Linked DNA regions of Callithrix jacchus. The protein of the gene in region 1 purifies or fractionates together with the protein of each later gene. This does not show direct contact. Links are inferred from orthologs where the notes say so. Each region holds a gene or a part of one and is shown in the gene's direction. Other genes may lie near its edges. The genes, in order: UPF1, STAU1, SMG7, ILF2, EXOSC2, MOV10 and MAGOH.

Evidence for each region.
Region 2: the proteins of UPF1 (region 1) and STAU1 purify together in Homo sapiens (affinity purification with mass spectrometry; 7 studies listed by BioGRID and IntAct, with this or other methods). This does not show direct contact. The link is inferred for Callithrix jacchus from reciprocal best matches to the Homo sapiens genes UPF1 and STAU1.
Region 3: the proteins of UPF1 (region 1) and SMG7 purify together in Homo sapiens (affinity purification with western blotting; 7 studies listed by BioGRID and IntAct, with this or other methods). This does not show direct contact. The link is inferred for Callithrix jacchus from reciprocal best matches to the Homo sapiens genes UPF1 and SMG7.
Region 4: the proteins of UPF1 (region 1) and ILF2 purify together in Homo sapiens (affinity purification with mass spectrometry; 3 studies listed by BioGRID and IntAct, counting the BioPlex papers as one, with this or other methods). This does not show direct contact. The link is inferred for Callithrix jacchus from reciprocal best matches to the Homo sapiens genes UPF1 and ILF2.
Region 5: the proteins of UPF1 (region 1) and EXOSC2 purify together in Homo sapiens (affinity purification with western blotting; 3 studies listed by BioGRID and IntAct, with this or other methods). This does not show direct contact. The link is inferred for Callithrix jacchus from reciprocal best matches to the Homo sapiens genes UPF1 and EXOSC2.
Region 6: the proteins of UPF1 (region 1) and MOV10 purify together in Homo sapiens (affinity purification with mass spectrometry; 3 studies listed by BioGRID and IntAct, with this or other methods). This does not show direct contact. The link is inferred for Callithrix jacchus from reciprocal best matches to the Homo sapiens genes UPF1 and MOV10.
Region 7: the proteins of UPF1 (region 1) and MAGOH purify together in Homo sapiens (affinity purification with western blotting; 3 studies listed by BioGRID and IntAct, with this or other methods). This does not show direct contact. The link is inferred for Callithrix jacchus from reciprocal best matches to the Homo sapiens genes UPF1 and MAGOH.

What each region holds. Positions count from the first base shown.
Region 1 is NC_133523.1:17,531,047-17,535,736, forward strand, and holds the start of UPF1 (regulator of nonsense transcripts 1), read left to right. Parts: upstream 1-1,790; 5' UTR 1,791-1,843; coding exon of another isoform or gene 1,844-1,854; coding exon 1,855-2,085; intron 2,086-4,690. Other genes in the region: uncharacterized protein LOC144580760, read right to left, coding at 1,399-1,790, 1,844-1,856. UniProt on the Homo sapiens protein: RNA-dependent helicase required for nonsense-mediated decay (NMD) of aberrant mRNAs containing premature stop codons and modulates the expression level of normal mRNAs.
Region 2 is NC_133506.1:44,231,001-44,235,124, reverse strand, and holds part of STAU1 (double-stranded RNA-binding protein Staufen homolog 1), read left to right. Parts: intron 1-1,320; coding exon 1,321-1,486; intron 1,487-4,124. UniProt on the Homo sapiens protein: Binds double-stranded RNA (regardless of the sequence) and tubulin.
Region 3 is NC_133519.1:41,704,239-41,708,362, forward strand, and holds part of SMG7 (nonsense-mediated mRNA decay factor SMG7), read left to right. Parts: intron 1-846; coding exon 847-1,018; intron 1,019-2,197; coding exon 2,198-2,269; intron 2,270-3,118; coding exon 3,119-3,269; intron 3,270-3,631; coding exon 3,632-3,767; intron 3,768-4,124. UniProt on the Homo sapiens protein: Plays a role in nonsense-mediated mRNA decay. Recruits UPF1 to cytoplasmic mRNA decay bodies.
Region 4 is NC_133519.1:14,091,269-14,096,152, reverse strand, and holds the start of ILF2 (interleukin enhancer-binding factor 2), read left to right. Parts: upstream 1-1,739; 5' UTR 1,740-1,789; coding exon 1,790-1,794; exon of another isoform or gene 1,795-1,924; intron 1,925-2,492; coding exon 2,493-2,552; intron 2,553-2,838; coding exon 2,839-2,881; intron 2,882-4,347; coding exon 4,348-4,452; intron 4,453-4,884. UniProt on the Homo sapiens protein: Chromatin-interacting protein that forms a stable heterodimer with interleukin enhancer-binding factor 3/ILF3 and plays a role in several biological processes including transcription, innate immunity or cell growth.
Region 5 is NC_133502.1:179,354,039-179,358,858, forward strand, and holds the start of EXOSC2 (exosome complex component RRP4), read left to right. Parts: upstream 1-1,570; 5' UTR 1,571-1,579; coding exon 1,580-1,701; exon of another isoform or gene 1,702-2,041; intron 2,042-3,302; coding exon 3,303-3,404; intron 3,405-4,820. UniProt on the Homo sapiens protein: Non-catalytic component of the RNA exosome complex which has 3'->5' exoribonuclease activity and participates in a multitude of cellular RNA processing and degradation events.
Region 6 is NC_133508.1:150,649,993-150,654,116, forward strand, and holds part of MOV10 (helicase MOV-10), read left to right. Parts: intron 1-1,369; exon of another isoform or gene 1,370-1,498; intron 1,499-2,372; exon of another isoform or gene 2,373-2,628; intron 2,629-2,724; exon of another isoform or gene 2,725-3,331; coding exon 3,332-3,535; intron 3,536-3,795; coding exon 3,796-4,031; intron 4,032-4,124.
Region 7 is NC_133508.1:90,372,409-90,375,760, reverse strand, and holds the end of MAGOH (protein mago nashi homolog), read left to right. Parts: intron 1-887; coding exon 888-970; intron 971-2,124; coding exon 2,125-2,224; 3' UTR 2,225-2,381; downstream 2,382-3,352. UniProt on the Homo sapiens protein: Required for pre-mRNA splicing as component of the spliceosome. Plays a redundant role with MAGOHB as core component of the exon junction complex (EJC) and in the nonsense-mediated decay (NMD) pathway.

The sequences.
Region 1 (4,690 bases):
AGGCAGGAGAATTGCTTGAACCCAGGAGGTGGAGGTTTCAGTGAGCCAAGATCGCGCCATTGCACTCCAGCCTGGATAACAAGAGTGAAACTCCATCTCAAAAAAAAAAAAAAAGGCCAGGCGCGGTGGCTCAAGCCGGTAATCCCAGCACTTTGTGAGGCCGAGGCGGGTGGATCACGAGGTCAGGAGATCGGGACCATCCTGATCAACATGGTGAAACCCCGTCTCTACTAAAAATACAAAAAATTAGCTGGGCATGGTGGCGCGTGCCTGTAATCCCAGCTACTCAGGAGGCTGAGGCAGGAAAATTGCCTGAACCCAGGAGGCGGAGGTTGTGGTGAGCCGAGATGGCGCCATTGCACTCCAGCCTGGGTAACAAGAGCGAAACTCCGTCTCAAAAAATAAATAAATAAATAATAATATATATGTATATATATTCACACACACACACAGGATCTCTGTCACCCAGGCCGGAGTGCAGTGGCACAATCATAGCTCGCCTCAAACTACTGGGCTCAAGTGATCATCTTGCCTCTACCTTCTAAAGCGCTGGGATTTCGGGAAATAGCCATCTTGCCCAGCCTTACTAGCCCACCTTACTGGCAGCAGAAACTCTAGGCTCAGAGAGGTTAAGTCACTTGTATAATTTCATACAGCTAATAAGTTGTCAGGTCTAAATTCCACCACAGACCATATGCTTCCAATTGTTTTGCTGTATACGTCCGCTAAATAATCATAGCAAAAATTGTAATTGGTTAGTAACAGCGGCAGAGAAATCAGGAACAGCAGCAACCATCATTTCCACGTGCCAGGCCCAGAACGTAAGACTATCCCCATTCATTTATTTTTATTTATTTTTGAGACAGGGTTTCGCTCTGCTGCCAGGCTGGAGTGCAGTGGTGCGATCGCGGCTCACTGCAGGCTCAATCTCCCAGGCTCAAGCAATCCTCCTACCTCAGCCTCCCTAGTAGCTGGGACTACAGGAGCGAACCACCAAGCTTGGCTAATTTTTGTATTTTTTTGTAGAGATGGAGTCTCACTCTGTCAACCAGGCTGGTCCCGAACTCCTGGGCTCAAGCAGTTCTCCCGCCTCAACCTCCGAGTGTTGGGATTATAGATGTGACCACCGTGCCGAGCCCCATTCTCTTATTAAACCATTGCACAGGGAGCATCTACTGTGTGCGAGATATTCCCCTATTTTACCGATGCGGAAACTGCGTTCTAAGCAGCTTTTGCCCGGGGTGGGAGGGCACTGTCCTTGCCCAGCCTCTCCAGTTGGGCGTTCCGAGACAACCTACGTAAGGTATTCGGCTAGCGCTCAATTAAACCGAAACACTGTCGCACCGCCCACAGATGCAGACCGCCCAGTCCACACCGCCCGCCGCCGGGCGTCCCTGATTAGCAGTTGGGGCAGGGCCAAAGTCCTGGAGCTGCCGACGCGCAGGCGGTTGAAAGCCCCGCCCTCTGCGCGTGCGCGTGCGCGTACCGTCTTGCCGCTTGGCTCCCGGCGCCCGAACGCAGGTTGGCTGCGTCCGCGAAGAGCGCGCGCGCTTCCGCCGGCGTCGGGCTCGCGCACGCGCACGGCGACGGCGGCGGTGGCGGCCGTTCGTGCTCAGGGCTGCGAGCAGCGGACGGCTTCGAGGGAAGCGGCGGCGCGGAGGGGCTCAGCGGTGGCAGCGGCGTCTCGGCGCTCGTAGCTCTCGGCCCGGCTGGTGCCGGGGCGGGCGTTTCTGTCCGTTCCGGACGCGCGGGGGCTACAGCGGCGGCGACCCGAAGCCTGCGGCCTAGGCCTCAGCGCGGCGGCGGGCTCGAGTGCGGTGCGGAGCCGGTCAGAGGGCCCTACCCGGCGGCACCATGAGCGTGGAGGCGTACGGGCCCAGCTCGCAGACCCTCACTTTCCTGGACACGGAGGAGGCCGAGCTGCTCGGCGCCGACACTCAGGGCTCCGAGTTCGAGTTCACCGACTTCACTCTTCCTAGCCAGACGCAGACGCCCCCCGGCGGCCCTGGCGGCCCGGGCGGTGGCGGCGCTGGAGGCCCGGGCGGCGCGGGCGCGGGCGCTGCGGCGGGACAGCTCGACGCGCAGGTGAGCGGCACATGGCGGCGCCGGAAGCCCGGGCCCGGCTTCGGCTCCTGGGACTTGCCCTGACCCCGCCTCGGGCCAGGCCGGGCCGGGGCTTACCTGGAGTTCTACACCGCGGCCTGGCCTGGGCCGACCTGCCCCGGGTCCCCTATTCCGTCTGGGCCTGAGCTTACCTGCCCCAGGTTCTGCTCTCTTCCGGGGCCTGGCCCAACTTGCCCCGGGCCCCCGCTCCAGCCGGTACGGGGCTGAGTTCCTTCGGACCCCAACTCCCGGGCCGGGCCGACTTGCCTCGAGTCCTCCCCTCCGTCCGGGTCCGAGCTAACCTGCCCCTGTTCCTTTTACTTCGGCTGGGTTTGTTCCTCCGCCTGGGCTAGAGCTGACCTGCCTTGTGTTCCACAACCAGTGTGGCCTGGAGTAACCTGCCCCGCTTCCCCCCCTCACTCCCCTGGCCAGCTGACTTATCCAGGTTCTTCCACTCCAGCCGGGCTAGGGCTGCCCTGCCCTGGACCCTCTTCCGCAGGTCTCTGTAGTCTACCCCTAGTTCCCTTACGGCCTGGGCCGGGTGTTCCTCACGCCGGATCTTGAGTGATTTCTTTCAGTCCCCTTCCGGGAGTATCCAGGGTGACCTGCCCTAAGCCTGTTTCTGGCTCGGTCTGGGGGGATCTGTCCCGTCTCCCCAGTGGCGAGTCCGGCCTCCCTGTCCCACCTCCCATCTGCGGTGGCAGCCGTCTGGGCACGCCCCCGCCCCGCTTTCACGGTCAAGGAGCCGAGGTTCGAATTTCCCCAGGCGTAGGGGCGCTGGCCAGTGGAGGGTTGAGGCTCCTGGAGCCGAGAAGAATTTTTGCCTCCCGCAGAGGAGCACACATTGGCTGGGTATTAAGATCATTCGGGAGGCAGGTTGTGTTTTGTTTTTTTTCCTTGAATCGCCTGTTGCTGAAACCAACCTGTTACATAACTCCACAACTCTTGCCTTGAAAAAGTTGAGTTTGAGTTTTGTTCCTCCAATAAGACAGCAATAGTGGATTTTATATAAACGAGTCTGCCACTTTGGAAACTTTTTAATGATGTGGATGTTTAGAGAAGGTTATTTGGGTATTTTAAATGGAGGCTTGATTTGGGAAAAGTGTCAGGCATGCATTTCCTGGTTCTGGGTGCTGCCCACCTGGGGTGGGAGAGGGCTTTGGAGTGAGGGTGTTGGCCGGGGTCTGGTGAATGTCCTCATCGTGCTCTGGATCTCAGGTTGCTTTCACCCTAGGCTTGCTTTGTGCCTGACACCTCACTCAGGTTTATTTTCCTGAATGCTCTGCCAGGGAGTAGCTACAAGGCTCACCTTGGCAGAAGTGTCCCTTGGTATATGCTTGTGTTTCAGAGCTGGGGAAACCACCCCTTGCTCAAGCAGAGTGAGCTCAGACCCTGTCCTTGGTTGAGGGGGGCTTACGTGGTAGTCGGTTGAGTCACTCCCGTGGGTAGACCACCCACTTGGGCTTTCTTTTAGCCCCTAATGGAAGCAAAAAAAACATTTGACTCATTCTAACCCTGTATCTCTTAAAATAGAAGGCCTGCATAGAGGTGCAGCGTGAGGAGAACAGGTGTGCACATATGGGTGTTTTTTGTTTTGTTTACATTTGGTGAAGGGAGGGAGGGAAAGAGGAGAGTTCCCCTGAAGAAGGGAGCCTGAGCTGTGGAGGCCCCACCACCTTGTAGTTTTCATGCCCTGTAGACCTTTCTGCTTCGCAGCTGTGCAATGGGGGTGGCGGTTAGATTTTTGTTCTTACTGAAGGAAACCTAGATCCATGTGTTAGTCAACTGTATAGGCTGTCTGTAACCTGACATCCAGCCTGTTGGGGAGACTCGGTAAAGATCTCTGGAGCAGGGAGCAGTGAGCCATGAGCTGTGACAGCATGGGTGCGGGGTTGGCTGGGTGTGAAAGGTAATCATTTTCTTGTGAATCCTTCTAACTGTAGCCAGCATGAAACAGCAAACTTGGGGCAGCCTTTAGTTCTGCTTTTGTTTCTGGCATTCTGTTTGGGATTGTGGGGCATGTCCTTCTCTTTCAGTTGAAACAACTGATTTTTTTTCCCTGCACCTGAGTACACTGGGCTGTGCAAAATGAGAGCATTAAAATGCTTCCCTGGAGGTAACCATTGCAGTTGAGCTCGCAGCAGTTCCTGTGACATCAGAGGGTTTGGCCTGCACTGTTTTTAATTGATCCAGATGCCCCACCCACCTGTTGCCTGTAATTTTGGATGTGTTTGTGGGGAATGGCAGTGGCACCCCTTTGTATCACAAGGGGAAGACTGGAATTTGTGGGCAGGGAAGTCTGTGAATATCATTCAAGGGAAAGCAGAAGAAAGTTCTCTCTTGTGCGAATTGATGGCAGTGTTTGCAAGACATTTGGGGAGACTTTCCCTCTTTGTCCTCAGGAGTTGGCGGTGTAACTAGCTGTGAGTTGGGGGCTCCTGGAAGGACTCAGCCCCTCATTCTGCTTTTCGATTTTTATTTTACTGGGTCAGTGGCTGTCAGCTGTCAAGTGCCCTGCAGTCACTTTTGCTTAACAGCTTTATTGAAATAGAATTCACGTACCACACCATACAGTTTACTCATTTAA
Region 2 (4,124 bases), on another chromosome or scaffold:
GGAGGTTTTGCTCTGTCGCCCAGGCTCCAATTGAGATTGTACAGTGGCGCAATCTCACTGCAACCTCCACCTCCCAGGTTCAAGTGATTCTCCCTGCCTTAGCCTCCTGAGTAGCTGGGATTATAGGTGCCCACCACCATGCTCGGGTAATTTTTTTTATTTTTTAGTAGAGATGGGGTGTTGCCAGGTTGGCCAGGGTGATCTTGAACTCCTGACCTCAGATGATCCACCTCTCTTGGCCTCCCAGAGTAATGTGATTACAGGCATGAGCCACTGTGCCTGGTTGCCCCTCCTTTTTTTTTTTTTTTTTTTTTAAATCAATTGAGACAGGGTCTCCCTATGTTGCCCAGACTGGTCGGGAACAGAGTTCAAGAGGTTCTCCTGCCTCAGCCTCCTAAAGTGCTAGGATTACAGGCGTGAGCCATTACATCTGGCCCTGTGTGTGTGTTTAACTACTGCCTTTGGAAAGGGCCTGAGCATGTTCCTCACTGGCAGTGTGGCTTGTGCCCTCAAACAGTCTGGTTAAAGATCACCCTTGTAACTCCTTTGTGTAAATGAATTATATTTGGACATGATTCCCATAGCATAATGATTCCTGTAATACAATGATTCCCAGCATTTATAGATACCTTATTATTGGGTACTTTTTGGTTTTTGAACTTGTGAGCTTTGTAAGTAGCTCTGGTGCAATAAAATATTAATTGAAACCTGAAAATGCCATGCATTGAAAATCTTTTGCTCATGATAATAAGACATTAGTGGATAGATGATGAGCAAAATGGAATTCTTCATTTCCCTGCTCTCTGTTTGGGGGTTAAGTCATTTTAAAAATATAAGCTATGAAATAGATAAGAAACTGGATTCTGCTAGGTAGGCTACAGCTTGTTGGGATTTCTCGAAATGAGGATCCTTCCTAAAAGACCTGTACATTAAAATTCCCAGCCTCCTATTGGAGACATGCAAGTGTAAAGCTAAGGTTTGAGAAGGCAGAGCAAGCTACATTTCTGTCTCAGCCAAAGCCTAATTTATTTTAGATTTTATCAGTACAGGTTAGCATGATACATTGAATTCATAATTTATAAGCCATTGTATTTCATGAAACATAAGTTGGGATTGCTAAACACTCTTTGCTTATACTGTGTAGAAATTCTAATTCAGTTTAAGCTTTTATGAAATCTGGATATATTGATGAAGAGTGGTTAGCATCAAACACTAATGTGAGTAGGATCGTGATGAAGGAAAGATTTGCATTTGCTAGAGGATGTATGGGTGACTTACCAACTTGAGACTATAATTTGCCTAACCCCCTTTTATTTCTAGGTACTTTTACCCATTTCCAGTTCCACCTTTACTTTATCAAGTGGAGCTTTCTGTGGGAGGACAGCAATTTAATGGGAAAGGAAAGACAAGACAGGCTGCGAAACATGATGCTGCTGCCAAAGCATTGAGGATCCTGCAGAATGAGCCCCCGCCAGAGAGGCTGGAGGTGAGGAGCAGAGCCCAGGTTCTCTGACACTTTGACAGGGTAGAAGGGTCATGGGGAGATGTCACTGCACATTATCTTTTCTAAGAAGGCACATTAACAGCTTTCCATAATTTTTCTTTGAATGCCTCCAAGCTTTTGTGCTCTGTAGCTTTCTTCCTTTTTACCCCTTTTTTCTTTTAAAATTAAGAAAATCAGTTACCTTCTTTTTTACTTGATGGCATGGTTTTGAGTGACATGATATGGTGTGAACATGTTAGAAAGTTTGCAATTCAATTGAGTTGTGAAGAACATGTATGGATGAAGTCTTCAGTGCTGAAGATTACACTTGACAGAATCTACTGTGATTTGTGATACTAGATTAGAGAATTTTCTGAAGCTGTTCTTGACCAGCCAGTCTTGATGATATTGAAGCACCTGTTATCTGTTGCCGCATAACGGACCATTACAACATTTAATGATGGTTTAAACATCTCCAGGCATTTATTTTTTGCTCATGAGTCTGCAGTTGAGGCAGGGCTTGGCAAGGGTTGTTCCACACAGCTTTGGTTGAGGTAGCTCTGCAGGGGGATGAATGATCTGCTTTTAAGATGGCTCACTCATGTGGCTGGTAAGTTGATGCTTGCTGTCAGCTAGGAGCTCAGCTGGGGCTCTGGCCCCAGGACCTCATTTCATCCCTGGGTGACCTATGGAAAAATTGCCTACATTTCCTCATGGTATGGTGTCTGGTTGCCAAGGGTAAGCATCCTAGAAGATAGGAAATGGAAGCAGCTGCCAGTTTCTTAAGGCTTAGGCCCAGAAATCACAGCATCGAGTCGACCATACTCTACTGGTCAAGTGGGCACGGAGCCCAGATTCAAAGGAAGGAGATAGAGAAACGTCACTTTTTAAAAAATTGAGATAAAAATTATATAGCCTAAATTTACCACTTTAAGTGTACAATTCAGTGGATTTTAGTACATTCACAATATGGAGAATCCCACTTCTAAATAAAAGGATTGTCAAAGAATTAGGGGACATATTTTAAAACCACCATGATAGGAAAAAAAAGTTTTTGTGACTAAACAGCAATATAATTCTTAGGGAATCAGTAACTCCATGCCATTGAGGGGTTAGAGCATTAGTGAATATCTTTGGCCAGGTAGAATCTTATGACAGATAAAATAACAAAGTCCAGAAGAAGCCCAGTGAATTGAAAACATTGAGATTTCATAATTCTGTTTAATTACAGCAGGAAATGCCACCTGAAAATATCTCTGGGTAGTGTTTGACTTTTCTTCCCCAGGAAATATGTTCACAAAGAACAAGAAGAACTTGCAGAGAACAGTGGGCTAATTATGTGATGAGAGGTGTAGACCCCAGTGGACCTTGGGCAGGGTGCCTGGTGAGGTCTATTGTATCTGTTGCCACCCAGGGCGACCCAGCTCAGACTTCATGGCTGGCCGCACAGAAGCAATTTGTTTTTCTTTTGTTACGCTGCGTTTCCATTTTCCACTGTAATCACCTCTTCTAACAGATGATCTGTTTCCAGGGCCCACTGAGGACCAGATAAAAGAAAATGAGGCTGTAGCTAAAAGAGGAGGATTTAGTGAAGTTAAAAGGATGAGCTTTTCAGTGGTGAGATTTGTTAAAACATCAAAAAGGTAGTAGTATAATGTGAGTTATTTTGGAGGCTTTTCAGTTTTTTTACTTGACTGGTGCTAATTTAATTGGAGTCCGATTGTATAGGTATTTCTAGTTCCTTCCAGCCAACAGTTGATAAACAATTGCTGGGTACTGATACAGGGATTTTCTGCATCACAATCACTTGATAAGTTAAAAAAAAAAAAAAATTTCTGGGCCCAACCCCAGGATTCTAATGTAGTAGATCTAAGGTAAGACCCAGAAATCTGGCTTTTTTTTTTTTTTTTTGAGACAGTCTCCCTCTGTTGTCCAGGCTAGAGTGTAGTGGAATGATCTTGGCTCACTGCAACTTCATCTCCTGGGTTCAAGTGATTCTTGTGCCTCAGCCTCCTGAGTAGTTGAGACTACAGGTGCTCACCACGATGCCCGGCTTATTTTTGTATTTTTAGTAGAGACTTAGTTTTCAGCATGTTGCCCAGGCTTTTCTCAAGCTCCTGAGCTCAGGTGATCTGACCCCTTTGGCCCTCCAAAGTTCTGGGATTATGGGCTTGAGCCACTCAGCCATGTTGTTGTTAATAAGCTCTTGGAGTGATTCTGAGGTATGGTAAAGGTTGGAGAACCACAGATCTGAATGCTGTCAGCACTTCCCCAGGAGTGAGTCCTCCATGAGAGTGATCACAGTATTGCTACAAAGGATGAGCGCCTTTTAGAGTTTCTGAGTCTTGTGCTCTCACTCACTAGAACAGCGTTGGTTGACACAGTCCTGTGGGCAGCAGCTGTTGTAGACATGTTCTCCTGAGCTGAGTTTTCACTCGCTCCTGTGAAATCTCAGAGGAGCTTTGCTGGGAGTGGTGGTTAAATCTGCTTGTGCCCCTTGATATTTCTCCTCCGTGCCCCCTTTTCTAGCTATATAGAATTTGAAGTAGAGACCATGCCTTTCAGAAATGGCTTAAAGGCTGGCCTTGGCCAGTGAAATGAAGAGTCATTAACTCAGAGAAGACAAACTTGAAGTACTAGA
Region 3 (4,124 bases), on another chromosome or scaffold:
ATAATGGATTAAGGAGTGAATAGGAGTTGAGAAAGCAGATATAAAAAGTGTGCACTCCTTTAATGGCATTTGGTCAAGAAGAGGAAGAGGCCTTAGAAGGTTGCTATAAAGGCATCTAGGGTCAAGGGGAGTGTTTTAGCTCTGTTTTGTTTTTTCTTCTTGTTTTTTTCTGTGGGAGACATTTGGTGTGTGGGCCATAGGAAAGAAGCATGTGAGAGGTTGAACAAAGATGAAAAATGGAGAGGTGGGAGACAGACAGGAGCCATAAAAGAATGTAGCAATAGGCACACACAGTCAGAATAGTTAACTCTGACTAGGAAGAAGAACCTTCATACTTGAAGAACAGAGAAAAGAGGAGGTAGGAGTGGGTTAATACAGTAAAGATCTACACTACCATGAGATTTGTTGTATATGCAAAGACATGTGAATTGGCATATAGCTTAAGAAAATAAATTGCAAGAAGTGCCTAAAGTCTGACAAATACCTTGGCTTGCATTTAAGTTAAATTTGTAACCAATATCTAATAATTTTTGTGTGTTTCTGAGGGTGGTAGTTTTCTTTGCTTGCTGAATATGTCTGAAAATCCTATCCAGTTAAATAATCTTTTTTTAAAAATGCTGCTGGTTTTTTTCAATGCACATCCTAGATTGCTGTAATACTTGAGAATTCAAAAGGTATGATTTATAATGAATGATACTGGTTATCCTATGAATGATTACCATATAATTTTCATGCAGTTTTTGTTCAGATTTCAGCACCATGTGATACCAGGTACACATCTTACAGTTTATAAATTTTACTTTCAGAGCACTTGTGACTTACTACTAAATTTTGTTTTTCTTTTAGTTATTACAAGAACTGTGTACAGTATTTAATGTAGATTTACCATGCCGTGTGAAGTCTTCCCAATTGGGAATTATCAGCAATAAACAGACGCATACCAGCGCCATAGTGAAGCCACAGTCTAGCTCCTGTTCCTATATCTGCCAGCACTGCCTCGTCCACCTTGGAGACATTGGTGAGCCTTTGCTGTGAAGGAATTGATAATACATTCATCCTTTTCTTTGGAGTAGTCATAGAAAGAAACTCTTTTCCTTTAAGCTGAGCATACACACACAATTTAGATTGTCATAAGAAGAAACTATAAAATGTGTTCTAAGGAACTTAAAATTTCTCAATATTTTTGGGATTGGCAGAGCATCTTGAAGAATTCATATTAAGATTTAAATTTTATTAAGACTTTATGTAGTATAGGCAAATAATAAACAGCAAAAATGTAATCAAAGCTAAATTTTTCAAAGTGGTGCCATAATATTTTCTAAATTAAATGTCTGTACTCTGGTGGGGTTTGTAAATTATTCCTTCTGAAGCAGAATTGCCCTCTTTCTTTCTTACCAGTGCACTAAAAGTTCATTTTTAATTTTGCTTTCTTTTTAAAAGTTTAATTTGTATTTCTATTAAATGTATTTTACCTGGGAATATTACATAACATTTATTCTCGTTCATTCCTTTAAGGTGACCTAGAAAGGTTGTAAAACAAATTAACTATAGGATTATGTTTTGCTTGTCCTCAAATAACAAAGAATGGAGAACATTATTGCTTTTAAGTTTGAACATTTTAGATTTCTGAATATTACAAATCATCGGTTCCATGAGGAGATTACATCAGAGTAAGCAGTGAATTTGGCAGGGAGATTCATTGATAGTGTGTTTAGGTTGTTTTGATTTAAATGTATTCTTTGCACACACATATTTAATGTGATAGGAATGAGGCATTTTTCAAAATCAATTTATAAGATATTGAAGAAATACATTTTCAGATCATATTGTATAGTGTATTTTGTTTTGTTTTGTTTTTAAGTGCCATATAACTCACCCCTTCTTGTGGGCCGGCTCCAGGTCACCAGCATAGTCCATAGTGGGAGCTGGTGATGCATGACACTGGAGGACCTGAAAATGGGGTCTAGGTAAGCTTTAAAATTGGTTACATGCTGAATGTCCCAAATAAGGAAGGCTGATGGACACTTCACACATAATCCTATAGTTAATTTGTTTTAAAGTATTTTCTGCATTTAATTTTAAATTAACTTTAATGTCTTTATTATATTTAGAACTTAAAACTATAGCTGTTTTGGAAATACTACCCTACTATTTGTTTTTTGGGTTTTTTAAAAACTAACTTTCTTCCTCCTCTTAGCTCGATACAGAAACCAGACCAGCCAGGCAGAGTCCTACTATAGGCATGCAGCTCAGCTTGTCCCCTCCAATGGTGAGTGGGCCTATCAACCTGAGATTGACCCTGACACTTCGTTCTTTATAACAACGTGGCAGATAAGGCTCACCTTTGAAGTTTTATGAAAGCAATACATGTTTTCATGTATTTTTGTTTTTGTTTTGTTATTGTCGTGTTTTTCTATTTAACTGTACATTCCATGTAAACTGAATTTTTGTTTTACAAGTAAAATGACTTATTGTCAGTAAAGCAATACAGATAGAGTCTCTTAATATAACTTGATATTGTTTCTACAACTCTGGCTTCCTTAATTGCTTATAGAATAATTATTTCTTTAGATACCACCATTTTTCCCGCAGAAAAATAATCTATTACCTAAAAGGTAATCTTGTAATGGCCCTAAACTAGGCATTAGCAGTAGTTCTTGAGTTAAAGAAGTTACAGCAGATATTTGATGATTTTAACCATTCTTAATAAGAATTAAGACACTGAAATTCTTTTAGATTCTAGAAAGAGTCTAAAGCAGGAATGGCAGTCTGACCACACGACTTGTTTCATAGTGTCTGTGGCTGCTTTCACACTACAGTGGCAAAGTTGAGTGGTTGTGATAGAGACCCTTTAGCCTACACAGCTGAAATTATTTACTATTTAGCCCTTTGTGAAGCCACTCTCCACCCTAATTATGACTTTTTAAGCTGTGTATGATATTGTGTACCATTGCTGAAGTGTGCCGTTGTACTTTATGCCAGTTTGTAATGAGGTAGGCATATTTACCTTATCAAATACTCCCTTTTTTTTGAGTATTTAAACACTGATCATTCATATTCTGATAGCAAGACTTTGTCATTCTTGGGGTTACTCCAGAATCTTAACTTTCTTCTGTAGGTCAGCCTTACAATCAGTTGGCTATCTTAGCTTCTTCCAAAGGAGACCATCTGACCACAATTTTCTACTACTGCAGAAGCATTGCTGTGAAGTTCCCTTTCCCAGCTGCCTCCACTAATCTGCAAAAAGCACTTTCTAAAGCACTGGAAAGGTGGGGTTGATTTTGTTGTTGTTTTCTAGAGGACTTTGTAACCTGGAGCCTTGAACTCTTATACTTTGTTTTACAGAAAATAATGACCTATGCTTCTCTTATTTCTAAAGATGTAGATTTGTCATAATTTTTATATAGTCACTGAATTTCAACCAGTCAATATCTGATTCAGTCCCAGTAAAAGAGTACACAGGCTGTTAATACTGACTCATCTTGAGTGTGTTGCAGTTGAAAAATTAGTCAAATACAGAATTCTCTTTTGTGTATCAAGTATTCATTTGTTTTAGCAAGCCAGTGCCTCCTTAAGCAGTTGTAGCCATTTTGCTGCTTAAGATTCATGGAATTTTTTTCTTTCATTTCAGCCGAGATGAGGTGAAAACCAAGTGGGGTGTTTCTGACTTCATCAAGGCCTTTATTAAATTCCACGGTCATGTGTACCTGAGTAAGAGCTTGGAAAAGTTGAGCCCTCTTCGAGAGAAATTGGAAGAACAGTTTAAGGTTAGATTTCAGATACAGAGAATTTTTGTCTTGTCTAAATCAGGAAGCGTAAAATTTGGAGGAAACTGACTCCCAGTTTTTATATTTACTTAACTGTGTGAACTATTGGTAAAAATTAAATTTGAAGCATGTGAAATCCTTGCATATATCCTCTCTTCAATTTAAACTGAGGTGTGGTCTGTATAGACAAGTATATCAGTGTTTTCACTTGAGTAGCTGCCATTTGACAAAAATTATCAAAATGGAAAAAATAACTCCTCAGTTTTGAAACTACTATTTTTGATGGTTTGTGCATTCTTATATATGATTATGTTACCTACTTTATAGATATTTGCATTCTGCAAACCAGGTTCGTTA
Region 4 (4,884 bases), on another chromosome or scaffold:
TTATTTTATTTTTTGGAGACAGAGTTAAGCTCTTGTCACCCAGGCTGGAGTGCAGTGGCACATGATCTTGGCTCACTGCAACCTCAGCCTCATGGGTTCAAGTGATTCTCCTGCCTCAGCAACCAGAGTAGCTGGTATTACAGGCACCCGCCACCACGCCCAGCTAATTTTTTGTATATATATTTTTAATTTTAAAGAAAAATAATTTTAAAAAAAGATGGGGTTTCACCATGTTGGTCAGGCTGGTCTTGAACTCCCGACCTCATGTGATCCGCCCGCCTTGGCCTCCAAAGTGCTTGGCTTACAGGGGTGAGCCACTATGCCCAGCCAATTTTTTGTATTTTTTAGTAGATATGGGGTCTCGCTCTGTAACCCACGCTGGAGTGCTGTGGCACGATCTTGGCACATTGTAACCTCCGCCTCCCGGGTTCAAGCGATTTTCCTGCCTCAGCCTCCTAAGTAGCTAGGATTACAGGCGCGCGCCACGACAAAGACTAATTTTTTTGTATTTTTAGTAGAGACAGGGTTTCACCATGTTAGCCAGGATGACCTTGATCACCTAACCTCGTGATCCGCCCGCCTTGGGCTCCCAAAGTGCTGGGATTACATGGGTGAACCAACGTGCCCGGTCCATCATCCAGATTTGTGGGGTGAGGGAAGAGAACTGGAGGGAAACTGCAACGGGGACGAGTTGGATTCTCCTCTCTTTGCCCCTTACTTTGCCCCCCTTTTCTTTACTTTTTTTTTTTGAGACGGAGTTTCGCTCTTGTTGCCCAGACTGGAGTGCAATGGCACGATCTCGGCTGACTGCAACCTCCCCTCCTGGGTTCAAGCGATTCTCCTGCCTCAACCTCCCTAGTAGCTGGGATTACAGGCACTCATCATGCCTAGCTATTTTTTGTTGTTGTTGTTGTATTTTTAGTAGAGATGGGGTTTTATCATGTTGGCCAGGCTGGTCTCGAACTCCTGACCTCGGGTGATCAACCCGCCTCGGCCTCCCAAAGTGCTGGGATTACAGGCGTGAGCCATCGCGCCCAGCGTCTAGGCCCCCCATTCCTTTTTCTGCGCCCTCTCCCCAAGGGCTGTCTCAATTTCCCCCGTATTCTCTCACTAATCATGTTTTCTGCACTAATTCAATCAATACTCTCCTCTCCTATCTGAAACCTGTTTCTTCTGTCTCGAGTTTGTAGACATGTAATGTTCATTGTTGCCCAAACTCCCTTTTCCCCAACAACTTCAACTCCGAGTGGGAAAACCGGCTGACATCGGTTGTATTTTTGAGGTAGGAAAATTTAAGAAGATATTTTGATGTTTTCATTCACCGAAGAAACCTAAATTATGTGTGCCGTATAGGACACGAAAATGAAAAAAGAAAAAAATCCGATAGCAGAGGATGGTTTCGATCCATCGACCTCTGGGTTATGGGCCCAGCACGCTTCCGCTGCGCCACTCTGCTATCTACAAGCCACTCTTTTTCAGGACTGTTATAGAAGACTCTCTATGTAGCTGTTGTCCCTATTTCTTTAGTGCCACCTAATGTCTGACCAAAAATCCGCCATTACTATAGAACCAGTTCTTATTGGCTAGTTCCTGACACAGTAGGCTTTTTTTATTGGTTCATAAGCCCGGGTTGACAGAGTAAGCCAATAGGCATAAACGATTGGGTTAGGCGGGAGCCAATCGCGCTGGGTTTTATTGGGACACGCCGGCAAGACGCCTCTTCAGTTTTCCGCTCCTCGGAGCAAAGGGGCGGTTGGTGCGGCCTCCATTGTTCGTGTTTTAAGCCGCCATGAGGTAAGGGGGTCGAAGTGATCGAAAGGTTGCAGGTATTCGACGGAAAACTTTGGGAACGTGGGCCGAAAGAAGTCGGAGGACCTAAAAGCGCCGTGTGTCCGGGAGCTGGCCAAAAACCGGAGAACTCCCGGTCTGGGAGAGTAGGGGAGTGGGAGGCCGGCAGAGGCGGGGAAACTTGGGCCCGGGATGGGGTTGGGGCCCAGGAGTGGGGAGGCGGGTTCGGCACCTTTGTCTCTGAAGGGTTGCGATGAGGGGGTGTCCTCAAGTCCCCGGAGGAGCTTCCCCCGACCCCCCATCTGGGGTGAGAAGGCTGCAGCGAGCCGCTTTCATCCTCAGTGCAAAGGGCTTGACACAGAGGACATGCCCCATAAATGCGTACGTTAATGAAGAAATGTGCAACTTCTGGCCTCCGAAGTATTAGGATTCGTGTGGCCCAGGATTATGGGTTATTTCGTGTAGGGGCTGAGTGTCTGAGCCCCGTGATCACTTGATGCAGGGTTGTGATTAACTCATCCAGAATGAGGAGGTTATGGGGATGTATAACTGGGCACCATTTGGAATGGGGAAAAGTGCAAGTGGGCATGGGGTCTCTTGCCTGCCGTTCGGAGGTTCCGAGGGATGAAAGTAGTAGCCACCTTAAAATGATATGGCCGGTGAGTATTCCTTCAATGAGGTCAAAATAAAATCTGCGTTTCTAGGGGTGACAGAGGCCGTGGTCGTGGTGGGCGCTTTGGTTCCAGAGGAGGCCCAGGAGGAGGGTGAGTGCCGGTTTTTAGCATCTCTGGACTTGGTTGTTAGTTTCTGCTTGTCATCTAAATAGGAGTTTTGGGGAAGACTAAAGTCACTTGGTTTTGTGAGAGCCAACTGTGGTCTTTACCTGCACCCCTGCTAAATGAATTTGGCCCCACTATGCTAAGAATGATTCCCCCTCCCCAGAGACTTTGTCACTCATTCTGAGGACTGACACGTTTTCAAAATTGCTGGTGTTATACATCTCACTTGATTCCTACATAGGGAATAATTTAGCTGTTTTTCATGTTTTAGGTTCAGGCCCTTTGTACCACATATCCCATTTGACTTCTATTTGGTGAGTACCTTGGGTTAATCATACACATTTACTGGCCACTAGAAATGGAGCTCCGGATCTCCCAGTTGATGAAGCTAAATGGTGGTTGAAGAGGCTGGGTGCAGTGCCTCACATCTGTAATCCCAGCACTTTGGGAGGCCGAGGCAGGTGGATCAGGAGTTTGAGATCAGCCTGGCGAAACTCCTTCTCTACTAAAATTACAAAAGTTAGCTGAACATGTGCCTGTAATCCAGCTACTTAGGAGGCTGAGGCAGGCGAATTGCTTGAACCTGGGAGGTGGAGGTTGCAACGAGCTGAGATGGCAGGACTGGGAAAAAAAAAAAAAGTGAAGTAGGGAGGGAAAGGGATTTATGAAAAGACTTGGGGTTTTGAGTCAACAGCTCAACAGTGTGTTGCTTTACATACAGAAACAGTGTAAGCAGGGTGGGGAGATTAATTCCTTGGCTACTATTGGCATTAAATATGATTATCTTTTTTCTGAACAAGTAATTATATCTATGGCTTATCTGTTATAGTGATAGCTTAAATTATGGCTATTCCAGCTTGTATCCTTGGTTGAACTTTTTTTTTTTTTAAAGACATCATCTCACTCCATCACCCAGGCTGGTGCAATCTTGGCTCACTGCAACCTCTGCTTCCTGGGTTCAAGAGATCCTCCTGCCTCGGCCTCCCAAGTAGCTGGGATTACTTGGGAGGCCTGCCACCATGCCCAGCTAATTTTTGTATTTCTTTTTTTTTTTTTTTGAGATGGAGTTTCGCTGTTGTTACCTGGGCTGGAGTGCAATGGCACCATCTCGGCTCACCGCAACCTCCGTCTCCTGGGTTCAAGCAATTCTCCTGCCTCAGCCTCCCGAGTAGCTGGGACTACAGGCGTGCACCATCATGCCCAGCTAATTTTTGTATTTTTAGTAGAGACGGGGTTTCACCTTGTTGACCAGGATGGTCTCAATCTCTTGACCTGGTGATTCACCCGCCTTGGCCTCCCAAAGTGCTGGGATTATAGGCGTGAGCCACTGCGCCCAGCCCCAATTTTTGTATTTCTATTTAATAGAGACTATGGTGTCCAGGCTGGTCTTGAACTCATGACCTCAAGTGATCTGCCCACCTCAGCCTCCTAAAGTACTGGGATTTACAGGCGTGAGCCACCCAGCCCAGCCTTTGAACAATTTTTTGTTTCTTTTTTGAGGTAGGGTTTCACTCTGTCGCCTAGGCTGGAGGGCAGTGGTGCGATCTTGGCTAACTGCAACCTCTGCTTCCTGTGTTCAAGTGATTCTCCCACCTTAGCCTCCCAAGTGGCTGGGATTACAAGTGTGAGCCACCATGCCCAGCTAATTGAACAAATTAAGGAGTGAAAACAAGTATAGAATTTTCTATTCTTAACTTATTCTGTTGTAGTAACAGAGAAAACAATCTTTCCTGTGTATTATTTTTGGTAAATAGAATGTAGTTGTTTATTTCTGATTTAGTGTGAAATGGCCTTCCCCCGGGTCAAGCCAGCACCTGATGAAACTTCCTTCAGCGAGGCCTTGCTCAAGAGGAATCAGGACCTGGCTCCCAATTCTGCTGAACAGGTATGTTCTTTTGGCTGTGTTCCAGAAATGTCTCTAAAACAGTTAAAAGTATTGGTAAAGAGTAACTGTTGGTAAGGGTAAGAATGGTGTTAAGGTAGCCTGAAAGCCACAGAAGGTTTAATTTTCTCTTTATTTCTCATTGTGGGTAGAGATAGCCAGGTGGATATGTACACAGATTATATACACTTATTTTTTTATTTTTTTTTTTTGAGACGGAGTTTCACTCTTGTTACCCAGGCTGGAGTGCAATGGCGTGATATCGGCTCACCGCAACCTCCGCCTCCTGGGTTCAGGCATTTCTCCTGCCTCAGCCTCCTGAGTAGCTGGCACACGCCACCATGCCCAGCTAATTTTTTGTTTCACCATGTTGACCAGATGGTCTCAATCTCTTGACCTCGTGATCCACCTGCCTCGGCTTCCGAAAGTGCTGGG
Region 5 (4,820 bases), on another chromosome or scaffold:
GAGCCACTGCACCCGGCCCAGGGCTGGCTTTCTTAAGTGTGGTTGTGAGCCTTAAGTGAAAGAAATGTTGACCCTTTGGAGATTGATAAAACAATTGGCTCAATGGATCTTTCTTCAGGAGGTGGACTTGGTTTACCTGCTTTACTGACCACAGCTGATGCAAATTATTTCATTTAACCCTCTTTAGAGTCCCCGTGCATGGGGAATTATCTTCCCCAATTAGTTTCTTGTGAATGCTGCAAACCATGCAGGGCAAGAAGAGCGAGAGGATAGTGGGGGAGGGGGAGAAGGGGCGAGGGGTACGTTCCTATCAAAACGGAGCCGCAGCTGGGCGCGGTGGCTCACACCTGTAATCCCAGCACTTTGGGAGGCTGATGCGGAAGGATCACGAGGTCAGGGGTTTGAGACCAGCCTGACACACATCGTGAAACCCAGTCTCTACTTAAAAAATACAAAAATTAGCCCAGCGGTGTGGCATGCACCTGTAATCCCAGCTGCTTGGGAGGCTGAGGAAGGAGAATTGCTTGAACCTGGGAGGCAGAGGTTGCGGTGAGCCAAGAGCGCGCCTCTACACTCCAGCATGGGTGACAGAGCAAGATTCCGTCTCAAAATAAAATAAATAAAACGGAGCAGCAGAAAAATCCACAGAGACATCCGTCTATTCCCCGCTGAATCCTTAGAACAGCGCCTGGCACACAGAGAGCGCTCAATTTGCTGTATGACTAAATGCAAGCCAAGATCTTTGTATTATGTGCGCACTTGCCTTCCCTACCAGATATACTGGCTTGCAAGTATACTGTTTTCTTAGACGATTTTTTACTTTTTTTCCAGAAGAAATATTGGCATAAATTAGCTCGCTCAAAGGAGTCTTTATGAAAAGACAGAACCAAGTGAGAAGCATCTGGAGCCCGGTTTGGGGGCTATAGATGATGCTGCTGAGCCAGCATCCACGGGGCGGCAGGGACGTAGAATACTGGGACTACTAGGAATGGTGTGGAAAGGGGCTCTTCTTTCTGTTCAAATAGTGTTTCTGTAGATCCCATCTCTTCATCTTCCTGAGCTCTCTCTTACAAAATATCGGATTTCAGCAGCTTAGAATTGGACAGAAACTCAGAATTCCGTTTTTCAATTATTTCTAACCCTGGTAAACAATAAATGGGATGATAAGTACAAGAGAGTTTTGGTGGCCGGGCGCGGTGGCTCACTCCTGTAATCCAAGCACTTTGGAGGCCAAGGTGGGCGGATCACCTGAGGTCGGGAATTCAAGACCAGCCTGACCAACATGGTGAAAGCCTATCTTTAAAAAAAACAAGAGTTTTGGTAAAAAGTCAAACGACGTGAGATTTTATTATTCCAAGGGTGCTCCCTTACCAATAGTAAACATGGCAGCTCGGTTCCCTTCCCTTCGTGTTCGCCTTATGGTTGCCAATTGTAAACATGGCCTCCAGGTCGTGAGTTCTCATTGGTCGCTGCACCGAGTCCCCGCCCTTCCCCGCCCCTCAGGACGCGGCCGGGAGTTGCGGAGCCGGATATTGCGGCTCCTGGCTGAGCTGCGTCTGCGCAACTCTTTGGCGCCAAGATGGCGATGGAGATGAGGCTTCCAGTGGCTCGCAAGCCTCTTAGCGAGAGACTGGGCCGCGACACTAAGAAACATCTAGTGGTTCCGGGGGACACAATCACTACGGACACGGGATTCATGCGGTACGTGGAGACTTGGGGGAGTCTAGGCTTCAGAGAGCGCTTCAGGGCTCTCTGCACGTGGCCCACGCCTCGTATCCCTGAGTGTCCATAACTCACCGCAGGACCCACGGGACATCGCCTGAGCATCCTACTCGCCTCGCTTCCGAGCCTCGTGCTTCTTACCCCCGGCATCTTGTGTGTCCCCGTCTGCATTCGTTTCAGCTCCTGACCTCCGGTGGCTGTGACTTTTGGGTTTTCTGCCCGAAGTCCAAATCTTTGAGGCTTCCTTGTAGGAGACCTGGAAAACTGGAGAGGGTTAGGAGCAGGCTGTCTTTCCAGTTTTCAGCTGTCTGAGGGGACGGTGAGCGTTCTTGACTTGGTCTCCTTCTCTTCAGTTTAGAATCCTTAATTGTTCGAGCTTAGGGCAAACCGTTACATTGCGCTGCCTGCACCCATTTACACACAGTTTGAAGCTAAGGGGTGCAGTACAGTGCGTTGTAGTTAAGAGGGCAGGCTCTTGAGTCAGATAATTGGGGTTACTTCCAGTCCTGCTACCATCGCATTTATTAGCGGCATTGCCTCTGCCCTGGCCAGTTTCCTCTTCTGTAAGATAATAATAACAACAGTATGATACGGTAATGAGGAGTAAATGAGATCATTACGTAAGAAAAGAAGTATAACCAGCCATTACATCATCATCATAGTTAACACTAGTGGTATTTCAAACTTTTATTTTTTTGTACCTGTATATATACAAGGGGCACAACATTCATAGCATTGCCCTTTAACCTGTTAGTTTAAGGTTAGTGGATCCTAGAAGATCTCCCCCCCACCCCCGCTTTTTGAGAGGAAGTCTGGCCTTGTCTCCCAAGCTGGAATGTAGTGGTGCTGTCTGGGCTCACTGCAACCTCTGCCTCCCGGGTTGAAGCGGTTCTCCTGCCTGAGCCTCCTAAGTAGCTGGGATTACAGGTACCTGCCACCACGCCCGACTGATTTTTGTATTTTTAGTAGTGATGGGGTTTCACCGTGTTAGCCAGGCTGGTCTCGAACTCCTGACTGCAAGTGATCCACCCGCCTTGGCCTCCCAAAGTGCTGGGATTACAGGTGTGGGCCATCATGCCCAGCCCCTAGGAAATCTTTGGATTCATTCTTTGATTAATGCTTTCAACATATGTTTACATTTTGTGCAGTTGGGATATAACAGCAGAGTGAAAAATCTCTGTCCTGGTGGAGTGCTAACAGGCAGAGATAGACAATAAGTGCAACGAATAAGTTATTCAGAACATTAGGCAGTCAATGCAATGGGGGAAAAGTGGAGCAGGGTAAATGGAATGTGGTGGGAAGATGGTGGGAGGGTGGCAACCTGGTTGGGGGGGGGGCTGTTTTCAGTGGCCTAGTCCAAGTGGGCCTGCTGGAGAGAGTGCCATCTGAGCAGACCTGAGTGAGAGGAGTGACCTCCAAGTAGATGTCTGAACAAGGAGCACGAAGGCAGAGGGAGCAGCCAGCCCAAAAGCCAGCCTTCACAGGGGCAGCCTGTTAGCTTTGAGGAACACCTTGTTCTTGAAGAGAGAGCACCGCAAGTTACCCTGGGATCCTTTCTTTGTGTCTTTGCCTTGCGTCAGGGGCCATGGAACGTACATGGGAGAGGAGAAACTCATTGCGTCTGTTGCCGGCTCTGTGGAGAGAGTAAACAAGTTGATCTGTGTGAAAGCTTTGAAAACCAGGTGAGAACAAAAGGTGTGTATTCCCTTTCTTGTGGCATCCAGGTTGTATGACCAGGCTCTTTCTGCCTCCCCTTATCCCCCACCCTACCTCTGCCTGCCGCATCCTGCTGTAAGTCTTCGGTTTTGACCATGACTATAGGTGGGTGGTGCAGAGCAGCGCAGGCTTCAGAGGTATCCCCATGTTATGTCATCTCTCCAAGCCTTGGTTACGTCCTCTGAAAGTGACTATATAGTATGGCCTACTTCATAGGATTTTTTCTTTTTTTTTGAGAGGGAATCTCGCTGTGTCATCTAGGCTGGAGCTCAGTGGCACCATCTGCTCACCGCAACCTCCACTTCCCAAGTTTAAGCAATTCTGCTGCCTCAGCCTCCCAAGTAGCTGAGATTACAGGTGCTCGCCACCACGCCTGGCTAATTTTTTTATGTTTTTAGTAGAGACAGGGTTTCACTATCTTAGCCAGGCTGGTCTCAAACTGCTGACCTCAGGTGATTCACCCCACCTTGGCCTCCCAAAGTGCTGGGATTACAGGCATGAGCCACTGCTCCTGGCTTAGGATTTTTTAGAATTCAGTGAGATGGTGCATGTATTTAGCACAGGGCCTGATACTTAGAAGCATTTAATAAAGGTTAGCCCCAGAAAGCAAGACAGTAGGGTTGGAACAGAGTGAGTGAAGCGGAAAGTAGGGGCAGATGCAGGCTGAGAGCTGAGGTGGGTGGACATGCGCCTGCCTTCTTTGCCACTGTAAGCATTTTGGCTTTTATTTTGCATGATCTGGGAAGCCACTCGTAGGGGTGGAGCAGAGGAGAGACTTGATCTGGACTTCAGCTCACTCTGGCTACTGATGGGAGATTGAAGGGGGATAGGGCAAGCTTAGGGAGATGGATTGGGGACCATACTCGTGATCTGAAGCGGTGGTGGCTTGGACTAAATTGGTAGCAGTGGAAGGTGGAGGAGCGATTTTATTTTCTGAGTGTTTTTTTAAATCATGAAAAGGTGTTGGGTTTTTGTATTCTTTGGGCTTCACTGTACATAGGACCTAGTCATCTGTGAATGGAAATAATTTTTTATTTCTTCCTTTCCAATCTGGATGCCTTTTATTTCCTGCATATATATTTTTTTCTTTTTCTTTCTCATATGTTTTGTTTTTTCTTTCTTTCTTTTCTTTTCTTTTTTTTTTGAGATGGAGTTTTACTCTTGTTTCCCAGGATGGAGCACAATGGCACCATCTAGGCTCACTGCAACCTCCGTCTTTCGGGTTCAGGTAATTCTCCTGCCTCAGCCTCCAGAATAGCTGGGATTACTGGCATGCACCACCAAGCCTGGCTAATTTTGTATTTTTAGTAGAAACGGGGTTTCACCATGTTGGTCAGGCTGATCTTGTACTCCTGACCTCAGGTGATCTGCCCGGCTTGGCC
Region 6 (4,124 bases), on another chromosome or scaffold:
CGTGCTAGGCAGGTTTCCAAAAATAGGAGGTTTCATATTAAAATTTTGATTTTGTCTTGTCTTGAAAGTCAAATCTGGCCAGGTGCAGTGGCATGTGCCTGTAGTCCCAGCTACTCGGGAGGCGGAGGCTGAGGCTGGAGGATCGCTTGAGTCCAGGAGTTCTGGGCTGTGGTGCACTATGCCAGTCGGGTGTCCACACTAAGTTCGGCATCAATATGGTGACCTGCTGGGAGCGGGGGACCACTAGGTTGCCTAAGGAGGGGTGAACCGGAGCAGGTCAAAACTCCCGTGCTGATCAGCAGTGGGATCGCACCTGTGAATAGCCACTGCACTCCAGCCTGGGCAACATAGCGAGAACTCGTCTCTTAAAAAAATAAAAGAAAGAAAGAAAGTCAGATCTCGCCATCTTAGGCCTGCAGTCCCTGCTGGCCCCGTTTGGAGATGAGCAGTTACGCCCTCAGACAGGGGATGCCCTTCCCAGTTTCTTCAGTTTCCACAAAGCCCTCTTTCTGCCCGGCATTGATCTGGGAGCCTGGAGCCACTTTTCTTGGAGGCTGCACTCTTGTTTTCTTAGAGTTGCGAGGGATATGCATGCAGTGTTCTTACACTAGTGACTCTCCAAAATGGGACTGAACTGGTGTCTGGGAGGGCTGCAAGTGTCAAGACACCTGTGGAGCCTAGCTGCTGTCAGCATTAGCTTGTGCTTCGATCCGTGGGACTTCGATCGACTCTAAGGGGCCCTTGCGAAAGTTTCTGATAATCTCCTAGTTCAGTCCCTTTGTTACTGGACCCCTCAGCAGTGTTTGATCCTGACACCTGGTTTTGAGACTTGGCTCATTCTCCTTTCTCTCTTGAGGGTTTCTTGTTTTCCCTTCCTCCCTGGGTTGTCTAGTAGCTGCTCTCAACTACTCACACTCCTGGGGAGATTCCTACACTTCCTTGATTATAACCACTACCTGAGGACTCCCTAATACTAGGCTGTAACCTTGACTTTGGTCTGAGTTCTCAGCTTCTGACTTGTGGAGCTGGTTGCCTGGACCACAGGAATCTCAAACCTAGCATATCCAAATCCAAATGTCATGGTCAGTCCCTCCAGCCTCTCCTCCTCTTGTCTTACATCCATCTCAGAGATAGTCCTACAAGCCAGGCCACTGATTTGGGGATCCTAGACTCCTCCCTCTTCCCAGCCTTCATTCCCACTTCTGTCAGTCACCAAATTCGGCTAATTTTACATCCTAAGTATTAGCAAATCTTGCTGCTCTCCTTCTATCTCCACCACTGCCTTGCCTCCTGCCTTTGTTATCTTTTCACTAGAAAATTGCAAGGGCCTTCTTCTAACTGGTCTCCCTGCCTACAATCTTGCCTCCAGCAAATCCATCCTCCAATCCTGATGCCAGAGTGATCTGAAATGCAAATCTGATCTTGCCACTCCCCTGCTTAAAACCCACCAACCGCAGTGGTTCTGTAACCACGCTGTAGCCTCTGACGTGGGCTGAAAGTAAGTTGTTACTGCTCCTATACTACTGCTACTATTAGTACTACTATTTCTACTAATCTAAATACTAATAATAGTAGCTAACATTTACCGAGCATTTTCTATTATGCTTTCCAATGATTTATTACCTTCTTAAAACAAATCATAGCCAATTCAACGTTTTCCAAATTGTACCGGTCTCATTTGTTTGGGGTGAAGGAGAGGGGCAGAGTTACAGGCAGGGGCACCTGAAAAATCTTCATAACCATAAATGATCTTACCATATACCCTAGTGAGTGTCCATGCCGATTTAGCCTTAAAAGTTAAATAGGGATTACCATAGTTCTCATAAACAAAGATTTGCTTTTAAGAGAGGGCCTCTTAATCTGAGTCAGAGTCTAGATTTTGAATGTGTCCCTGAAGTATGTTGCACATGGGAATGTCCTCAGGCTCCTGGGTATCAGTAGAGCGGGGAAAAGGACTGCAGGCATTCAAGGGTCAAGTCCAGGCTTGGCCTGGTATGCAAAACTGTCCATGAGCTGGTCCCTGCCCACCTCTGCTCCTCCTGCCACTCCCCTCCTTGTGCATTTCACTCTAGCACAATGAAACTGTATGTGATACTAATCATGGCTCACCCTTACTGAGGTCTCCTATGTGCCAAGCACTGGCTCAGTGGTTCTCTGCTGTGTCAGAATCTCATTGGAACCTCATAACAACCCTACGAGGTAAGTCTCGCTTTCCTCCAGTTTTATAGGGGAGGAAAGTGAGGCTCTGAGAGATGCGGTCACCTGAGCTGACCTGGCTAGAGTTGTCAAGGGGGCAACCCCTCCGCCCGTACCAGCACACGTTCTTGCATACTCCTCACATCTGCTCACGCTTTGCACTCTCTTGTGCCCAGGTAATGCCCACTCATCCTCAGGACCGAGTTCTTATGCTGCCTCCTGGGGAAGCCTTCGTGGACACCTCCTCTGCCCCCAGACTGGGCTCGGTGTCCCTCCGTGGCACTGAGCCCCTCTGTGGCCGATGAGCTGCCCTCTGGGCACCATGCTGGAATGTATGTGTTCAGTCTGTGTGCTCCTCGAGGCAAGCGCTGAGTCTCTTGCATCTTTGAACCCCCGGCATCCAGCACAGTGTCTGGCACATAACAGGCCTCTGTAAGTGTTTGTTGAATTGACTGAACTGAACTCCAGGCGCTGAGCCTTGAGGTTATTGTCCTTCTGACCAGTTTTCCCTGTCTTCACCTTCTCTAGGCACAAAGCCAGGCTATTTGATCTCTGGAGAAGGATCCTTTCCCTTCCTGCTTGGGTTCCACCTGCACCCTATGACTTCGGGTGGAAACTGCTGTCTGATCAGCCACCTTGCCCACACACGTGGACATCTGTACTGTCTCTGATCCCTTCTCTCCTCACCAACGGGCTGGAACCCACATGCACCCCTCTGAATCAACTCATTCCGCTTCCCCTTAGCCTCAGCTCTTTCTTCTGAGTTGTTTGTATTTTCTTTTCTGTCCCAAACAGTTTCCCCCACAAAAAGAACTTTATGTCTTTCTCTCTTTTCCCTCGGTCCTTCCAGTCAGCAGCCTGTGATTGGGCTTTTCCCCTCAGAAATGAACAATCCAGAACCCACTGTTTAAAACAACTGTATTTTGCCTTGGGAGGTCGCATTGCCTTCCCTTAAAACATGAAACATTCCTCCGATCCCGAGCCTGTGTCTCTCTGTCTCTGGGCCCCATCCTGCTCCACAGCAGGGCTGGTGTGTCCAGCACAGAGTGACCCTCCGACGCCCTTCCCCACCCGCCGCCCTGCCTCCTGCAGGCCCTGCCTTGCCTCACTTTCCAGTCTCCTCTGCTTCTGGCAGCTTTGGGACCCCCGCCCCTGGCTTCTCCTCCATGCTGTATGGAATGAAGATTGCAAATCTGGCCTACGTCACCAAGACTCGGGTCAGGTTCTTCAGACTCGACCGCTGGGCCGACGTGCGGTTGCCAGAAAAGAGGAGAATGAAGCTGGGGTCAGATATCAGCAAACACCACAAGTCACTGCTAGCCAAGATCTTCTATGACAGGTGTGTGTGCTGGGGCACGGAGGCCTGCAGGGTGTGAGGGAAGGGGCTGTCTGAGGACAGAGTGGGTCGCACAAGTGGGAGGAAGTCCCCCTCCTCCAGGGAGTGGGGGAAGGGCGGGGAATTGGCCTTCGGGGAGGAGGCGAGCTTGCTGAACACAGCTGGCACTTTGCCTGCCTCCCAAGCCTAAAACTTTCCCCAGGGTAACTCCCCAGTCCAGACCGCGCCCACCCCAGCTCCGCCTTGACTCCCCTTCTCCCCAGGTCTGAGTATCTTCACGGGAAACACGGGGTGGATGTGGAAGTCCAGGGGCCCCATGAAGCCCGAGACGGGCAGCTCCTCATCCGCCTGGATTTGAACCGCAAAGAGGTGCTGACCCTGAGGCTTCGGAATGGCGGAACCCAGTCTGTCACCCTCACTCACCTCTTCCCACTCTGCCGGACACCCCAGTTTGCTTTCTACAATGAAGACCAGGAGCTGCCCTGTCCACTGGGCCCCGGTGAGTGGGTTTCCAGAGGAAATGGCTGGTGGAGAGGGGCTTGTCCCAGGCAGTGCTGGTGCTTTGGGAAGCACCGGCGCTGTCTGGTGGACT
Region 7 (3,352 bases), on another chromosome or scaffold:
TACAGTGATGAGATCACGGCTGACTGCTGCCTTGACCTCCTGGGCTGAAGGATCCTTCCACCTCAGCCTCTCTAGTAGCAGGGACCATGGGTGCATGCCACCACACCCAGCTAATTTCTATATTTTTTGTAAAGATGAGGTTTTGCCAAGTTGCCCATACTGGTCTTAAACTCCTGGGCGCAAGTGATTCTTCTGCATTGGCCTCCTAAACTGCTGGGATTACAGGTGTGAGCCACCACACCCAGTCCAATTGTTTGGTATTTTTAAAACATAGATGTATCCATTTTACTCCACATTGTTGACAATGAAAACTTAGACAAAATACTACATAGGCTGGGCATAGTGTCTCATGCCTGTAATCCCAGCAGTTGGGAGGCTGAGGCAGGCAGATCACCTGAGGTCAGGAGTTCAAGACCGGCCTGGCCAATATGGCGAAACCCTGTCTCTATTAAAAATACAAAAAATTTTTAATAGAGACAGGGTGGTGGTGGGCACCTGTAGTCCCAGCCACTTGGGAGGCTGAGGCAGGAGAATCACTTGAACCCTGGAAGCAGAGGTTGCAGTGACCCAAGATCATACCACTGCACTTCAGCCTGGGCGAGAGAATGAGACTCCGCCTCGGGGGGGGAAGAAAAAAAAAAGCTTCATAGATTTTTTTTTCAAATTCCAGAAATAGTAGAGCCTTGAGGGTACAATTTCTTCTAAATATGAGCTTTATTTATGTCTTGTTTCTAGTCCCCAGCACAGTTCAGTGTTCAGAGTGAACCGCCCTTGTTTTTATGGCCATCTGTAGTCAAGTTTGTGTGATTTGGCAAATGATTAATCCTTCTGTGTGCTTGATGAATAATCCAATTTTACTTGACTTAGATTTTCTAAAATGCTTCCAGGAGCTTGAAATCGTTATTGGAGATGAACACATTTCTTTTACAACATCAAAAATTGGTTCCCTTATTGATGTCAATCAATCCAAGTAAGTGCATTATCCTTATCTCCAATTGTGTCTGTTTTGGAGCAGATTGATAAGAAACTCTTAACCAAATTGGGATCACTATGGGAAGATCTGGTACAGGTGGGCAGCTTTGTCCTCCTTGTTAGGGAGGGATCTCAAATTATTTTTGAAGACTTGCTCCTATTACTTTTGGTATTTCATTTAGTCATTGCTATTGAGAGCTTCTTGTTGACGCATACATACAAATTAATGCACAGGAGCAGCCAGGACAAAAATGGAATATGCTAGAAAAGTGCTCATGATAAACCAGAGTCACCAAGTCTGAATAGCCTTCACAGTGTGACTGTTCAGACTGGCACATCTTAAAATCTGACTTTGATGAAACTTGACAATTTTTAGGATCTAAATTTTATTTGATTTTAAATTTATTAATTTTTACAAATAATTTTGGTGAAAATGGATCAAATTTTAAAATTTGTGTTGTCAGTGGGGCAGATTATTAAGTTGAGGCATGAACCTATGTGCTACGAAGAATCTTTAGAATTTGGCAACTTCTTTGGCTCTTATGTTTTGGGGATTCAGGATTAGATATGGCTCACTTTTAGCAAATGTTGGGCATAATTGTCTTCCTTTGCACACTCTCCTTGTTCTTCCCTTTGGATACTCTTTGTTCTTAGCTAGTGATGCCACAGTAATCTTCAACCTCTTGGTCCTGCTTAGTATTACTACTTTTTAAAAAAGTTTTCCTAACTCTGGAAGTAATACATGCTCATTGTAGAAAACACAGGAAATGTAGAAAAGTAGAAGGGTGAAAACCATCCATTATCTTATCAGACAACCTTTATTAATATCTTGCAGTATTTCTTTTTAGTCTTTTTTTCTGTGCATTAATAGAATATATACTTTTTAAGAAGCATAAAAAATATAGTCGAGATCAATGTTAATTTTTTTCACTTAATGTAAGCATTTTCCTATTTTAAAAACTCAGTATATTTAAATTATTTCATAATATGCCATTTTAATATATAGTCTTTTCCTTTTTTGGTCAAAGTTTTAATGCCCTAAATATCTTTACAAGGAACATTTTGATAGAGGAATAATTGAGATTATTAAATGGTATCTTTTGCCCATTTTACCTCAGTGTTTTAAACTTTTTTTTTCCTTTTGCATTTTAGGGATCCAGAAGGCTTACGAGTATTTTATTATCTTGTCCAGGACCTGAAGTGTTTGGTCTTCAGTCTTATTGGATTACACTTCAAGATCAAACCAATCTAGATTGAATATTGGTGTGGACATGGGCGGGTGGGAGTAGTTTTTAATTAGCGTTTTCAAGAAAATTTTTTGTATATCAGGGTGGTATTTTTTTTTATAAACTATAAATGACTGTCTTTAATAAATGTGATAAAATCCAATTTTTATTACTTTATAAAGACCTGAACATGTGAAGTCTTCTTAATTACTTTGTAAAACACTAACGTCCTATGTGAGGTAGTGCCCAAACATAAAGTCTAATCAACTCTCTAGATATAACTATCATTTTAAAGGAAATAAGAGAATATAGAAACATGTTTTAAAAATACAGTAGGATTTCAGTCAGCCATATTGAGAGGAAATTCCAAGACAAATGACCTAGTTTCTTCAGTAAATTACAAGGGAAACAGAAATGGAGTGGGAACTTAAAAAGGAGACTTAAGAGACACATAACACAATATTTGGACCCTATTTGGATAATGATTCAAAAAAAATGTAAAATTAGGCCAGATGTGGTGGCTCACACCTGTAATCCCAGCACCTTGGGAGGCCAAGGTGGGTGGATCACCTGAAGTCAGGAGTTTGAGACTTGCCTGGCTAACATGGTGAAACCACATCTCTACTAAAAATACAAAAATTAGCTAGGCGTGGTGGCGTGCGCCTGTAGTCCCAGCTACTCAGAGAGGTGAGGCAGGAGAATCATTTGAACCTGAGAGGCAGAAGCTGCAGTGAGCCCAGATTGCACCACTGCACTCCAGCCTGGGCGACAGTGAGACTCCATCTCAGAAAGAAAAAAAAGTAAAATTAATACCATTAAGGAAATTTAACACTGGTTTGATTTAGGTATGAAATAGTATGGTGGTTGGAGTTTTTAAAATAACCTTTTATAGATACATCTATATTAGTAGGTATTTCAGTGTGGGGGAAAATACTTTGTTTTCATACGTGACACAAGATAAAATGCCTGGTCTCAGAAAAGTTTTACATTAATCCATTTTAAAATCACAATACCAACAGCCATTCAGGACTGTAAGTTGCCCAGGCAGTGTGGAAATTTGTTCAGCAGGTAGACCTGTGGACAACTTTTCCTTTCTGGTAAATTACGTGGCTTCTTTAGGAAAAGTACTGGTAGGAAAGATTGCACCTGCTGAA